Linked DNA regions of Macaca fascicularis. The protein of the gene in region 2 binds, or shares a complex with, the protein of the main gene of each other region. Links are inferred from orthologs where the notes say so. Each region holds a gene or a part of one and is shown on either strand. Other genes may lie near its edges.

Region 1 (7,544 bases), on a different chromosome or scaffold from region 2:
AAGAGATGTCACTATAGCAAGCCGGCAAGAGACCTTTGTCTCTGATGGTCCTTGATCGTACTTCTTGAGCTGCAGCAATGCAGCTGTGCATCCCAGTCTGGCCCCTCACCCTGTCCTCATGTGTGGCCCTTTTTACATCTCCAACCCATTGCCTCTGCTGTTCCTTTCCAGCGATGCTCTTCTTGCCTCTCTGCCTGGCAAGCTCCTACTGGTCCTTAAAGTTCCAGTCTCAAAATCACCTCCTCTGAGAGGCCTTCCCTGACCGCACCCAGATGGAGATGCCTGCATCACCCAGGCACCCTACTGGGACTTTTGCTCATGCATCTATTTATAGCACTCACATGGAGTTTTGTGATTCCTGGGCTGTTTATCGGGCTCCTGACTAATCTACAAACTGCTTGTTTGCAAGGGCCCGTCTGAGTCATCTGGCTGCCAAGGAGGTTGGCACGGGACTGGAGTCGCTTCACCCTGGTCTGTGGATGCTTTCCTCCTTCCTTTTTTCATTCCTCAAATATTTATCAGGCACCTACTATGTACCTGGTTCTGGGCTGTGCATTGGGAACACAGCAGGGAATGAGGCGCAGATGGTCTGGAGGGAGAGCTGTGTTAAAAACTGAGTCAGTGACAAAGGCATCAGCAGCATGAGTGTTGTGCCTCAGTTTGGGGACCTGGGAAGGGAAGGTCCCCAAACTGATGGGAAGGCTTCTTAGGCGTGTTCATTTAGGAGGCAGTCTGAGGGATGAGAGGGAACCAGCCCCAGGAGGCTTGAGTGGAGGAATGTTCTGGGTGGAAGCAGCAAGGGTGAAGCTCCTGCAGCAGGACCATCACTGGCACATTTGAGGGGCAACACTAAGACTCTTGAACATCCCAAGGAGCAGAGTGCACAAGGCAGAGTGTCGGGGAGCAGAAGTCAAGGCTGTTGGCCGGTGCCTGAATCCAGAAAACTTGCTGGACCAGCCTTTCAGTTCTGGTAGAAAGGAAACTGCTACTGGATGCCCATTTTATGGATGGATAAGCGCAGGTCACCAGGGATGATACGGCCAGGATGGAGGCAGCCAACAGTGTTTTTGAACTCACATTTCCCGGGCACTTAGTGAGGGCCAGGCCCTAGGCCAGGTGTTCCCACTCCTGAACTCATGAAATGCTTTCAGAGACCTTCTTGTCCCCATGGGATAGGTAAACTGAGGCACAGAGCTGCTCAGTGACTTCTTTAAGGACATCCAGCTAGTAAGTGGAGGAATTGGTATTGGAACTCACACCTGTCTGAGCCCCAGACTCATGATTTTCCATCCCACTGCCTGTGAACAGGAGACGCAGGAAGAGAATGGTGACGGCTGCAAGGCTTCCCTCCTATCTCATGTGGCCCTCCCCGCTCTGTGTGCATGGGGCCCTGCATCACCCCCACTTTACACCTGGGCAAGCAGAGGTCAGGCCCGGCCTCAAGCGTTTCTAGCAGGTGGTGGAATCTGCTTCCCTCACGTGAGGTCCCCGACAGGGTACACACTCATGTCTGCCTGGAGGCCAGGGGCTGACCCCTTGACCTTTGCCTGGTACCTTCTGCCTTCACTAGCCCTGACTTTACATCCAGAGTCATCTGATCCCAGCGCCAGATTGGTCAGCGGTTCCTGAAATCCCCCAAGGTTCCGTGTGGGAGCAAAGAGAGGACTGGTCCATCCAGCCATTATACAGATGGGCAGACTGAGATCTTAGGAGGAGAGGAGAGAACCAAGGTCCAGGAGAGAGCCAGGATGGGGCCTCCGGGCTCGTGGGATAAAATGCACCGCATGCTGCCTCACTCCCTCTGAGACAGTTTCCCCCGGTGTAGAACAGGGGCAGCAACAACCAGCCACGACAACTCCTCGTGCTGCCTCGTCACCGGGCATCGCTGAGCTCACCACCAACCCCGCGCCCTGGCCGGGCGCCTGGAGCGCGGGCGCGGGCGGACGTTTGCTGGCGCCGGGCCCTCAGTGCGTGTCAGCGGGCAGCGCCGTCAGACGGCTGTCACCGCCGCCCGCTCACAGATGCGTAGACTGAGGCTCAGGTGTCACGACCTGACCAAGGCTAGTTCCGCTACAAAGTTGCCGACTCGCATCTGAACCCGGGTCAAATTTACAGAAAAGGAAACTGAAGCCCAGAGACACCAGGGAGCTTGCTGGGGTGAGGCAGCTGCAGGTTCAGAGAGCCAGGAGGCAGCCCAGCAGCGCACTTTTAACCCCCGCCCGCCTCGCCAGGCCCAGCCGTGCCACCTTTAGGGATCTCGGGTTTTTTCCAGACGACGCACCCGGGAGAACGCGCCCACTCATCGCACCCGCCGGGGCTGCGCGTCTGGGGGTGCTGGGCGGAGCCTGGCGCTTGCAAGGAGCAGCGGGCTCAGTGGGTCCCGGGAGTGGGTGGGGCTTGCGTGTTGACGGGCAGCGCGAGGGGCGCGGCTTTAGTCCAGGTGGGCGGAGCCTGACCGGACTTGGGTTTTTCGGGCGGCTGGCAGACTTGACAGAGAGCGGGAGGGGCCCGGATCCTGGGCCCACGGAGGGTGGGGCGTGTAATTGACAGGCAGGGACAGACCGGCGTCTGATAGGCAGGGGACGGGCCTTGGAAACGAAAGGGCCAATCGGACACGCAGGGGCGGGGCCTGAGTCAGCGCCGTTCGGCCGGGGTCCCCCCGGCGCTGCCCAGTCTGGCTCCGGCGCCGCCCGTCGCGGACTCGTCCCTGCAGTAGTCGCCGCCGCCGCCTCTGCTCCTCCGCCTGGCCCGGGCCGTCTGCCCGCAGCCATGAGCGTGCTCGGCCCCGGTGGAGCCCGCAGTCCTCTAGATTAGTCCCCACCGCCGTCCAGGACCAGCTTGCAGCATGGAGTCGCCCGCCTCAAGCCAGCCCGCCAGCATGCCCCAGTCCAAAGGTAGGCGATCCCGGCCGGAACCTCGGCCTGACCCCGCGCCCAATCTGGGGCCGGGCTGCAAACCCCGACCGAATTTCTTTGGTCCCACCCCATCCTGTTCTCGACCTGGCAGCGGCGTCCGGTCCCGGAACCCCTTCCTGTTCGGGGCCCCGGGACCGGCCGCAGCCTGGGTCCTCACCTGGACCCCCAGGTTAGGCCTTGGGACTGCATTCAGGCCCGAGATCACCCAGGCTGGACCCAGACTAGGACTTTGTTCTGCTCACCCCATCCAAGTCAGGAGCCTCACTCTGACCTCATTTGGGCCTTATGGCTGTAGCCTGGACAGGAACTCTCTCAGTCTTCTCCCTCAGAGGGACCCAGGTGAGATTCACACTGGCCTCCATCTGCGTCCTTGGGCAGCACCCACTCCCATTTCCAACTTGGGGTCCCAGGGCTGTATCCAGGCTGGGATTTAACTTAAGTCTCCATCTGGGCCCCAGAGTGCTTCTGTTGTTTCGGACCTCACTGTACCCGCTATGCGGGTGCTCTGGCTACACCCCAGCTCGGAACTCCCCGTCCTTCTCTCCTCCAGCTCTTCTTATCCTTATAGGCCCTATGTTGCCCCTTCCCTGGCTGGCCTGCACCCTGTCCTGCAGCCCTGTGCTCCCAGGAACCTCCCTTGTCCTCCCACCCCTCCCTAAGGTACAGCCCCCTCTCTACTGGCTTCTCTCTGTCTTGAGTTGCAAGCTTCTCCCTGCACTTGGGGTTCTCACCCCATCTTATTCCTCTCCTGGCTGCCTGGGATCTGGGCCAACCGCCAGGCCAGGGTGCTGGCTGTGCAAGGGATTTGCTCTTCTCCAAGTAGCTGGCCTTCCTGGAAATTTTTGTGAGGTGGCAGCAGCAGCAGGATTTGTCATGCGGAGGGGGAAGGATGAGACTCGGAGGGCAAAAGGGGAATTTTTTTTTCAGGAAGAGGAAAGGATGTTTTTGGTGCGTCGGAGTTTCAGTAGGCTGGGTTGTGTGAGAGATTTCCAAACCGGACGTAGCCGTAATGAATGGGCTGCCTCCTGCCTAGCTGAACCTGCAGCTGCTTCACCCCAGCAAGCTCCCTGGTGTCTCTGGGCCTCAGTTTCCTTTTCTGTAAATTGGAAGTAATCACACCTGCTTCTGTGGACGCGGGAGTGTGGCGTGGGGTGGTGAATACAAAAGAGCTCTGAGGTGTTCACTCAGCATAGCGCCTGGCGGAGAGCCGGTGCTCACCAGGGGACACTGGCTGCACACATCTCGCTATTGTTTCCATTCTTCTTGCTGGAAAGGCCTCCACTGCTGGAACTGCAGCCGCAGAGTGAGCAGGAGGAAGCATCTAGCAGCGGGCACCTAGTGGGCCCCTCATCGGGGATCAGCCGCTCTTCTGCTCTGGAGGGCGCAGGCCAGTGGGAGCCCTGTGGGGGCTTGGGGAGGGCACGGGCTCTTCCTGGCCCCTGCTGCTGGCTGCTGTGGTGGCTGGAGCCGGGTGGGCAGGATAATTATGCCTTACATAAGTGGGAGGCCGGATCCCTGACCATTGCCCAACCACTGTGAGTAACTCAGGAGGCACTTGAGGGGGGAGGTGTCTGGGGAGGGACTTGCACTGCCCAGACCTCGTGGAGCTTGGGAACCAGGAAATCAGACACTTCTCCACTCTGGAGAGCCTGGGGAAGGGTAGGAAGCCCTGTTTGTTTTGGAGGCTTTTTAGCTCTCCAGGCAGAGAATGCCTGATCAAAATAAAAGTTCCAGTTGCAGAGTTGTGAAGGGAGAGGGGTCATAGATGTGGTGAGAACGCTGTGAGAGGGCCAAGATGAACTTCTAGATAGGGACCCAGGTCGCAGATGAAATTGAGGGAGCTGGATGGAGGGTCAGGGACCTCCCTCAGGCCCAGCGACCCTGTAGTCTCTTTGGGATCTGGGGAAGGATGTGGTGACAGAGCCGCAATGCCCTTCACCAAAAACGCTATGAGCTTCTTCTTTTTTTCCATGTGCCATGCATTTTCTCATTTATTCCTCATAGCCCCATTTATAGACAAGGAAACTGAGGCGTTAAGTGCCTTGCCTGAGGCCACGCAGCTGTGACAGGCGGAGCTAGGGTTCCCCCTAGGACTGCATCCCCACAGTGGCCTTCTCCGTGCTCCCTTATGTGCCCCTCCCATGCTGGATGCCTGAGCTGAGCTGGTGGGGTGCCCCCACCCCTGGCCTTGCTCAGAGCATGTGCAGTGGGCCTGTCCTCATGGCCATGTCAGACCTAGAGGACAGACTGAGGCAGAGGTGCTGCTGCTCTTGTGCACAGTGCTTTACACTGGGCCTGTTGCATACTCGCTGCAAAATCCCACTCATTTGACAGATGCAGAACTGAGCTTGGATGGAGTAGCCGAACTGCTCCCACAGGTGGAGATCCTCACCCCGTGCCTGCCCCATCCTGGGCACTGGGCCTCCCAGCACTGAGCCCTTCTCCACCTTCTCAAAGGAATTTGAACAAAGCAGGGAGTGGCTGGCGCTTGACCTTACTGGAGCTTTACCTTTGAGCTTCCTGCCTTGCAGCAGGTACCCTGCCCTATCCTTCCTGCCATGGGCCTGGGGAGTTTTCCGTGAGCGTGTGAGGCCCTCAGGCCCACAGCTCTGTTGGTTTTCCCCTGGCCTTCTTGCCCACATGGCCATCTCTGGCTGGGATCAGAGGCCAAGTGGCCGGCGCTGGGGCCAGTGGGTGGGGGCATGTGTGCAAGCCACATTTGTCCTTGGAGGGTACCATGTGTGTCCTGTTGTCATTCAGAACGTGGGTTCTGCCCCTTCTGCCCTAAGAGTGCCACCTGTGGGGGCACTTCATGGCTAATCTTCACACAGCTTGGACTGTGGCTGTAGGACTCCTGACTGCCCAATGGGGTCACTGAGGTTTCATGGAGCACTGTTGTATCCTAGCCCTGCCTATTGTGGCCATCCCCCATCCCCCGGCTGTCGGAAAGACTGGAGGTGGCACCTCGGGGACTTCCCCCACCCCTCTTGTGACGCACAGGAAACTCTCTGTCAGCCAACCCATGGCCCAGGGCCCAAAGGGAGCAAAGTTCTCAGTTGGCCTGTGTGAGGAGAAGGCCGGGGCAGCGGAGGCTTCCGGCGGTGAGTCAGCGGGCACTGAGTGCTGACTCACCTGCTGGGCATGCCAGCCGGCTGCCTACAGCTTAAAGGGGCGATGCCTGCTGGCCTGGTGGGTGGGGAGGGGGTTACGTGTCCTGCAGGTGGCACCTAGCCCTGAGCTGGAGCACTGGAGGTGGCCCCTTCCTGCGCCTCGGACTAGGCTGGGAACCCCTGGGCAGGCCCTCTGTGCCCCACCCAGGAACTTCCTCTGTTAGGCAAGGGGCTCTGCTTCCTCTTGCTCACAGAGCAGGAGCAGGTGGCGGTGACTGTTTACTACCCTTGGTCCAGGGGACACCTCAGGTTCAGCTGTGCATCTGGGACTCAGGGAGGGCGAGGAGCAGAGGTTGTGCAGGGTCGGCTGGGGTGGGACCCGACCTGAGGTCCTGGAAGATGGTGATGTGGAGAGGCTGAGACCTCAGTTTCCAGAGCCTGACTGCCTGGGTTCATACCCCAGCTCTGTCCCTTTTGCGATGTGACGTGGCACAAGTTGCATCCGGTCCACTCTCTGCACTCCGTAAAAGATTTCTGTCCCCTGGGCATGGCCCAGCTCTCAGAGGAGAAGCCTCCATTTCGTCATCTGCAGACTGGGAACGGGGACCCTGCCTGTCTGGATGTAGACAGTTCCATTCCACACTTGCTAAGTGTCAGGCACGAGTCATAGTGAGACTGCCCTCTGCCCACAGAGAACCCAGCCGAGGCACGCCTCTGCCAGGCAGGAAGCCTGGGGGCCTGGGCTCTGCTGGGAGGGGCCTGGGTTCGAATCCTGGCTCCACTACTTCCTTACCTGGGTAAGTCTTGTGCCCTCTCTAGCCCTCAGTCTCCTCTTCTGTAAAGTGGGAGTAAACACCCTTCCTTGCAGGGTAGTGGTCGAGCTTGAAGATAGCATTTGGCAAGTGAATGGCATCTGTTATTATTTTATTATTGTTACTTTTGTGAGCGTAGTTCGTTGGTAGGTGGATAAACAGTAACAGGGCTTTGTGGCGATGGGCTCGTAGGTGCTGTGACGCGAGGCCTCTTGGCAGCAGGGTCCTTTCATGCAGGCCAGAGTTTACCAGGCTTTAGGGCCTTTTAACCCACTGGTCCCCAAGGTGGGGGCTGGGGACTGCCACTGGCCTCCTGGGCCTTCCTGGGGAGGGCAAGTGGGGAACAGAGAGCTGCCCTGCCCCAGGCTTTGGCATGCAGCATGAACAGGATGGATGCAGGGAAGGTGGGGTGGGGCCTGGAATCAGGACGCAGGCCCCTGGGCCAGCCTGGGAAGCAGGAGGGCCTGGGATTGTGGTTCTGGGGGCTCGGTCCTGAGTCAGGGGTGTTGGTGGCTGGTGGGCCGAGCTGAAGGGAGCAACTGGGCACAGGGTCATGATGCCGGTGTCTTAGGAGGGGTCCCAGAGGAGGGCTGCCGGGCCGCAGCGTGGAGGACACCGCATCATGGCAGGGCCCCACGACTGATGCCCACATGCCGCCCATGCCTGCCCTTGGCCGTGCCTCCTGGCGCTGCCCACCTCCGTCAGGC
Region 2 (7,444 bases):
GTCCTTTCCCTCTGAGCCCTGGATGCACAGCGTGGGCAGGAGCCTGGCCATCGGTGAGTTGCCGGGCCTGCCACAATTGAAGAGGTGTCTGAGCAAAGCTGGTGACACATCAGCACTGAATGCCAGGTAGAATGCAGCAAAGAAGCACTGGAAAGTGATGTGCAGGAATTCCAGGGGCGCCGTACTCCCTGGCATGACACCTTTGGCACGCACCAGGAAGCCAAGAGAAATGTCATCAGGGCTGACCTGTGCTGCCTGGAGCTGCTGGGCTGAGAACACGTAGCAGCACATGCCCAGGCCCCACAGGGCTAGTCTGCCCAGGTGCAGAAGGGTGGGGAGACGGCCCCGAAGAAGACTGGGTCCCAGACCCTGGGAGGCTGAGTCTGGGGAGGTGGCATGCAGCAGAAAATGCTGCAGGATCAGCAGGTACATATCTGTAGTGGTCTTTGGGGACACCCCCTCCTGCAGCAACAGTTCCTGGTGGCATTTGGACACCATCCACGAGAAGACAGGAAGGTGGCACAAACCGTGCAGGGCTGAGGTCCCTTGGAGCAGGCGGATGAGGCGGTCTGCCACCCCAGGCTCACGATGGCGCTTCCTCAAGTACAGCTCGATGCCCTGTTCAGAGAAGCCCTTGAGGTTGAACTCGGTGCGGATGTACTTCCTGAGGAATGCTGACACAGCGGCTGGACGGCTGGTCATCACCTTTCGGGCATTCTTCAGCAGGTTGCCCTGCAGAAGGTTGAAGAGCAGGGTCTGGACAGAGGTGGGGTCGGTCGGGGAGCAGTGACGCTCATGATCCGTGAACCTGAACTTGAACTCATCAAAGCCATCAAAGGTTAACAGGACACGGTCAGGGTGGTCAAGGAGGAACTGGAAGATGTCCTCTTGATCAACATCAGGCCAACAGCAGTGCTCAAAGAGTAGTGTCCGCACGGAGAGTGGTTTGGCCACGCACTGCAGCTGCCGGCAGCTGAATGGGAAGACAAAGAGAAATTCCTGGAAGTCTCGCCCTGCAGCCCACAGCAAGTGGAGCCGCTGCAGGAGCGTGCTCTTGCCGCTGCCCGCCTCACCGACCACCAACACGGTGTCTGCATCGTCGTTGAGGTGGCTGCGGGTGCTGAAGAGCTCCTCCAGGCCCAGGGTGGCCGGGCTCTTCTGCGGGGGTCCAGCCATGCCCACGTCTGCCCAGACCTCCAGGCCATTCTCTGTGTATATGTCCTCCAGGCAGAGCGTCTCTGCCCCATCATAGGTGCTGAGGAAGCGAGCCTGAGCAGACACCGTGGTCCTCAGCTTGGCCATGTACTTCCTGCATGTGGCAGCTGGAAGGCAGAAGAAGAGGCAGATGAAGGTGGCACCATGGTGAAGAGGGGACCTAATCAGACAGTGGGCTGCTGTGGGGGAAGCTGACATAACTGAAGGGATAGGACAGCCAGCAAGCGCCCATCCTGGCTCCTCCATTCACAAGCTGTGGACTTTGAGGACAATCAAGGAAACTTCCTAACGGTCAGTTTCCACCTCTGTAAGGTGGGAGAAATGTTGATCTCTACCTTACAGACTTTTTACACGGATCAACTAAGATGACGTATGTCAAGTGCTCAGCACAGTGCTCAACACAAAGTAAGTCCAAAGACATCAGTGACTGCCGTTATCATTACTCACACCAGGAGGAGTTGTAGATGATGGGAAGGGGCTCTAGGCTGGGATCAGAAGACCTGTATTCTGATATCTGTCCTGCCATAATGGCCAGGTGGCTTTGGATAAATCCCTTCACCATTCACTCTCAGTTAACTTTTTCTAAGGGGAACAAAGGGCTTCAGGGCTCAGGAGCCCAGTCTCTGAAGTCTGACACACCGGAGCGTGAAAACCTGCGTCCACCACACACTTGGGCAAGCCATTTAGCCTTTCTGGGCCTCAGTTCTCTCATCTGTAAAAATGGGGACAATATACACCTGGAAGGATTGTTTCAGGAGGCAGTGAGATAAAATAGAGTTTAAAAGAATATCTGACATGGCAAACTCTCAAAAAATGGTGCTTATTATCATTATTATTCATGGCTATAGTAGGCACAACAATAGACCCTCGAAGATGTCCGTGTCCCGATCCTCAGAACCTGTGAATATGTTACCTTATGTGGCAAAAGGAACTCTGCAGATGTGATAAAGTTAAACTTCGAGATGGGGAGATGAGCCTGATTGATCTGGGTGGGCCTAGCAATAGAAGGCCTCGGGGTCACCAGGGTGCCCCAGCTGAGCACTAGAATGAGAGTCTGTGATCCTGCCTCCACTTCCTCATCCTCCCCATGCACCCCATGCAGGGAGAGTTTTCATGCACAGGGTGTGTTTGGAAGGCTACTGCTCTTCCTTTCTCATCCTGAAAGCAATGCGAGCGAGCCATTTCCTGTGTCAGGGTTTAGTTCCCCTTTCAGGAAACGGGGAAGTGCTGGTTTAGAGTCCCCGGCTGGTAGGAACTCAGCACGGTCCCCCGCCATCACAGCCTCACTGCCCCCAACCAAACACTGGCCCACTTATTTTCAACCCAAAAACTAACAAGTAATTTTCAGAGAGCTCTGAGCTCACTGACGACTATCTGCAGTCACACAAAGGGGACGCCCTGTGTTTACGTCACCTCTGTTGTTCCCAGAGTTGATGATTATTGCTGAGCTTTCTGCCCTCTGAATACACCAGGATCCCTGAACTTAGACCATAAGGTAAATATCTTCCTCTCCAATACATATCAGATATATATCTTCCTCTTCCGACCTGATTTCCAATGCAGGCTTTCCAGCCATCACCAATGATACTAAAATTCTCCGGAAAAAAAGAAAATGTCATTTTATAGAGAAATAAACACACCTTTAGAAGTGTGGGGAATCCTGCACCCTGGCCTGGTCTTACAGTGACCAGCTGTGCTTGATGATATCAACGGCAAACCTCAACCAAGGGCCAAACCAGGCCCCGCGCTCCATGCTGCTCAACCCCCCTGTGGTGCACTGATGTTTAGATCCCGTTCTTTGACGAGACAGTGCACTCGCGAGTGCCAGGCACAGACTTACAGCCACCCCTCCCACAGGTTTGCTTGCTGCCCACAGGGCAGGGCCCAGGGTGATAGACCCAACTGCCAGCACCACGCACAGCTCAGGGAGCTTCAGTGCCAATGAGCTTTCCCTACAGTGGTATAGGAACAAGCCCTAAAGAGTGCCAGACTTTTGCACCCTCTCTTTACAACTGACATTTCTTCTCCCAAGAAAAGAGAAAGTGTAGGTGGGGACAATTTACAATCAGACCCATCTCCCCCTCCCTTGTCACTTAACCTCCCTGCCCAGTTTCCACATCTATAAGGTGAAAAAACCACCACCTACTTCTCAGGGTTGTTGCAAAGGGTAGACATTGTCCATAAAGCACCCGGCAGGATGCCTGGTATGTTCAAGAGGTGCTGTCCAAGCTCCTCCTGTTCCTGAGTTTGGGTGGTGACCCTGGGCACTGAGGGATACCAGAGTCTCTAGATCCACTTGGTTCTTGAGTTTCCGATTGTGAGCTGCTAAATTTCAGAGATCAAGAGGTACCAGCCCTAACTCAAAACGCGTGTCCGTATCTTTTTGGTACAGATAACGAGAGTTTGGATGGTAAGTAACACCTTTAGTTAGCCTTCAGCATATGGTAGCTCCAATTGTCAGTGTACTGTGTGGGAGATAATGAAAGCTAATAGCTAACATCACACGCTTTTGTCCTTTTAATCCTCCTAAAATTGCAATGAGATAGGGGGTGGTGGTAGCCTTAAAACAAGGAAACTGAGTCACATGGAGGCTACACTGCCAGCATATGGGACGCTAACCGAGGTGTGTTCTACTCTTAACCATGGATCTGCACTGACTGCCCTTCCCTTTCTGATTAACTGAGAACATATACCTACCTTCCAAAGGCAGGGCCAACGGGACTGGTAATTCCTGAACATGTTGTAGAAGGAAGGCGGCCAATCCATTCGCTTTCACTGTGGCAAGATCGAGCAGCCTTCTTGCCTACGGGAAAGACAGAAGACATTGTTCCTCCAGGAAGGCTGATGGAGCAGTGTGGGAAGGCTTACTGATTACTACAACTTCATAAGCATCTCTCTTCTGTCCAGAATAAAAGGTCAGAAAAGCAACTGAACAACCACAGAAGTTTCAAGTCGTTAATAGTGTTGGATGGTGAATTGAACACACGCATCCAATCTGGCTCCTACCCAAAACTCACTGAAACAGTGAATAACTGAAAAATAAATGAAACAACATGAAGACATAAACCTACAAAGATAGGGAAAATGATTCTGTAGGCTGTACACCATTTGGAAGAGAAGTGATTTCATCAAGTCTCATGGATTGAATATTTGAATACAATCTCTGCTCAGACTCCCACATCTTCATCTCCAGCCTGAACTGTCCCCCTGAACCCTGGACTTACGCATCCAACTGCCTAGTTTCCATTTCCACTTAAAAGTTTCATAAACACCTCCAACATATTCAAAACTAAACTCCTAACCTGCCCACGCACCTGCCAAACCAACAGCCTTCCTCATCTTGGCTAATATTAACCCCATTCTTCCAGGTGCTCAGCCCCGAAGTCGTGGAATCACCCTCGAAGTCTCTCCTCTGTAATCTGTCAAATCCTGTTGACTCCACCTTCAAAGCACGTCCCAAAGAGCACCGTCCAACAGAAATAAAATGCAGGGCACAAATGCAAGCCGCATGTGGAATTTCAAATCCTCTAACAGACATATGTTTTAAAGTTAAAAGAAATAGATGAATTCACTTTAATCATATATTCTATTTAACCCACAATAGTCCAAACATTACCATTGCAACATGTAATCCATGTAGAAAATAGCAAAATATGGCCGAGCCTGGTGGCTCACGCCTGTAATTCCAGCACTTTGGGAGGCCAAGGCAGGCGGATCCCCTGAGGTCAGGAGTTCCAGAGTAGCCTGGACAACGTGGTGAAACTCCATCACCACTAAAAATACAAAAAATTAGCCAAGTGTGGTGGCATGTGCCTGTAGTCCCAGGTACTCAGGAGACTGAGGCAGGAGAATCACTTGAACCTGGCAGGCAGAGATTGCAGTGAGCCCAGATCACACCACTGCACTCCAGCCTGGGTGACAGAGCGAGCCTGGGTCTCAAAAAAAAAAAAAAAAAGAAAAGAAAAGAAAAGAAATAGCAAGGTATTTTTCATTCTTTCTTTCATATTAAGTCTTTGAAATCTGGTGTGTATTATGTGCTTATGGAAATTCCATGTGGACCAGCCGGGTCTCTAGTGCTCAAATGCCATCTGTGGCCAGTGTCTACATACCAGACACACAGCTAGAGAGCCCTGCCACTTCCTGTCACCTCCTCTATACCATCCTCCTCCAACCCACAATCCCTGCTCACCTAGAAAGCTGCACAGGCCACAAAATTGGTCCCCCTGCTTCTGTTCCTGCCCCCACAGCCTAGCCTTAATGCCACAGACAGAGTCTAATCCGTTACAAACAAAACTCAGGTCACATCGCTCCTGTACAAACGTCCCAATAACATCCCTATTTCCTCAGAATAAGAGTCCAAGTCCAACAGTAAACTTCAGGTCCCAAAACAGACAAAAATACCTGTCTAGAACCATGTGGACCCAAGTTTCTCCTTTCATGCCCCCTATTACTCCACTCAGCATCCTGGCCTCCTGTTTCCTAAAACTACCAGGCATGCTCCTGCCTCTGGGCCTTGGCTCTGGCTGTCCCCTCAGCTTGGAAGCCTTCCTCCAACCATCCATGTGGCTAATTCACTGTCCTCCTTCAAGTCTTTACTCGAATTTCACCTTCTAAGTGAGAACTCTGACTACTCTATTTAAAATTGCCATCATTTATCCCCTTCCCAAACTCTCAACTCCCAAACCCATTTTACTTACTTTCTACAGCACTTATCACCTTCTAGCACACTCTGTAATTTCCTTCCTTTGGCTTATTGTCCCTCTCCCCTTACTGGAGTGTGCGTATTTCCAGGACAAAGATTTTTGTCTATTTTGTTCACTGAGGTATCCCCAACACCTAGAAGAGTGTCTGGCACAAATCGGGTGCTCAAGGACTTGCTGAATGAACAAATGGTAATGGACTGGGGAGACTCCTGAAAGTCAAATCTTAATGTCAAAATGAGAAAGTTGAAAACCATGCAGTGTGTATCCTAGAATCTGTAAAGGGCTCTGGAATGATCAGCATGAGGGACCTCCGGAACTGGAGGAAATGACTAAAACAAGGAGGACTGAATCAAAGTGTTTTCTGAAACACATTTCTGGTTTATCCCCAGGCAAAAGTCTGTGGTCTACTCAGACAACTTGATTAACCCAGGAGGCAAGATCTAAAGATATAAACACTGTCATTTCCCAAAATGTCTACAGTGAAATTCATGGTAGACAAGTTTCACCCACGTGCTCAACAAGTTTTAAAGTCCTACCTGTTAGTCTTGAGAAAGAAAACCAAGGAGTATCATGAGCTCACAGAAAGCATCTAATGTGGGAGATAGAAGCCAAACAAGGGAGGAAGGGGAAAGCTACTTGTAGAAAAGGTTTACATAGGGTCAAAAACAGTCAAACAAACAAACAAAGAACCCACCTATCTTATGATCCTTAAGTCAAAGAAGATGTTGCATCCATAAAACAAGAGTAAGATACTACAAAAAAGAAACAGTCAAACCTACCTCTTGCACACTAAAATCATGACATCAAAAATGAAAAATTCAAGAGTTTAAAGATAGAGTTGTGACTATCATAGAAAAGTAGATCAAAAAGACACAGAGATGGAAAATAGAAGAAAATTAAATGAGCGGTCAAGGAGTTCTAACATTGAAGTAATAGTAGTTTCATAAAAAGAGAAGAGATAAAATGGAGAGGAAGAAATCACCTATAAACTAATCAAGAACATTTCCCAAAACATAAAGACAGAAGTTTCCAGATTCAAAGTACCTCTTGGGTGACCAACACAACGGAAGAACACCAAGGCACATCACTGAAATTTTAAAATGCTGGGGACTAAAAGAAAATTTTACAAGCTTCCAGAAAGAGTTTTAAAATGGTTTTGGAGGCTGGGTGTGGTGGGTCACGCCTTTAATCCCAGCACTTTGGGAGGCCAAAATGGGCAGATCACCTGAGGTTAGGAGTTCAAGACCAGTCTGGTCAACATAGCAAAACCCCATCTCTACTAAAAATATAAAAATTAGCTGGATGTGGTGATGAGTGCCTGTAATCCCTGCTACTCAGGAGGCTGAGGAAGAAGAATCTCTTAACCCCAGGAGGTGGAGATTGCAATGAGCCAAGATCATACTACCTGCACTCCAGCCTATGTGGCAGAGTGAGACCCTGTCTCAAAAAGAAAAAAAAAAAATGGTTTTGGAATTCTTAGAAGCAATATTGAAAAGAGATGATAATTGAATAATGCAATCAAAATT

The links. The genes of interacting proteins can lie anywhere in the genome.
Region 1: NOD2 (region 2) and MAP2K3 share a complex: the UniProt entries of both Homo sapiens proteins name them as parts of the signaling complex. The link is inferred for Macaca fascicularis from reciprocal best matches to the Homo sapiens genes NOD2 and MAP2K3.

Annotation. Positions count from the first base shown.
Region 1 is NC_088390.1:20,710,898-20,718,441, forward strand, and holds the start of MAP2K3 (dual specificity mitogen-activated protein kinase kinase 3), read left to right. Parts: upstream 1-2,671; 5' UTR 2,672-2,845; coding exon 2,846-2,894; intron 2,895-3,027; exon of another isoform or gene 3,028-3,254; intron 3,255-5,969; exon of another isoform or gene 5,970-6,822; intron 6,823-7,544. UniProt on the Homo sapiens protein: Dual specificity kinase. Is activated by cytokines and environmental stress in vivo. Catalyzes the concomitant phosphorylation of a threonine and a tyrosine residue in the MAP kinase p38.
Region 2 is NC_088394.1:46,664,113-46,671,556, reverse strand, and holds part of NOD2 (nucleotide-binding oligomerization domain-containing protein 2), read right to left. Parts: intron 4,019-7,444; coding exon 3,913-4,018; intron 1,323-3,912; coding exon 1-1,322. UniProt on the Homo sapiens protein: Pattern recognition receptor (PRR) that detects bacterial peptidoglycan fragments and other danger signals and plays an important role in gastrointestinal immunity.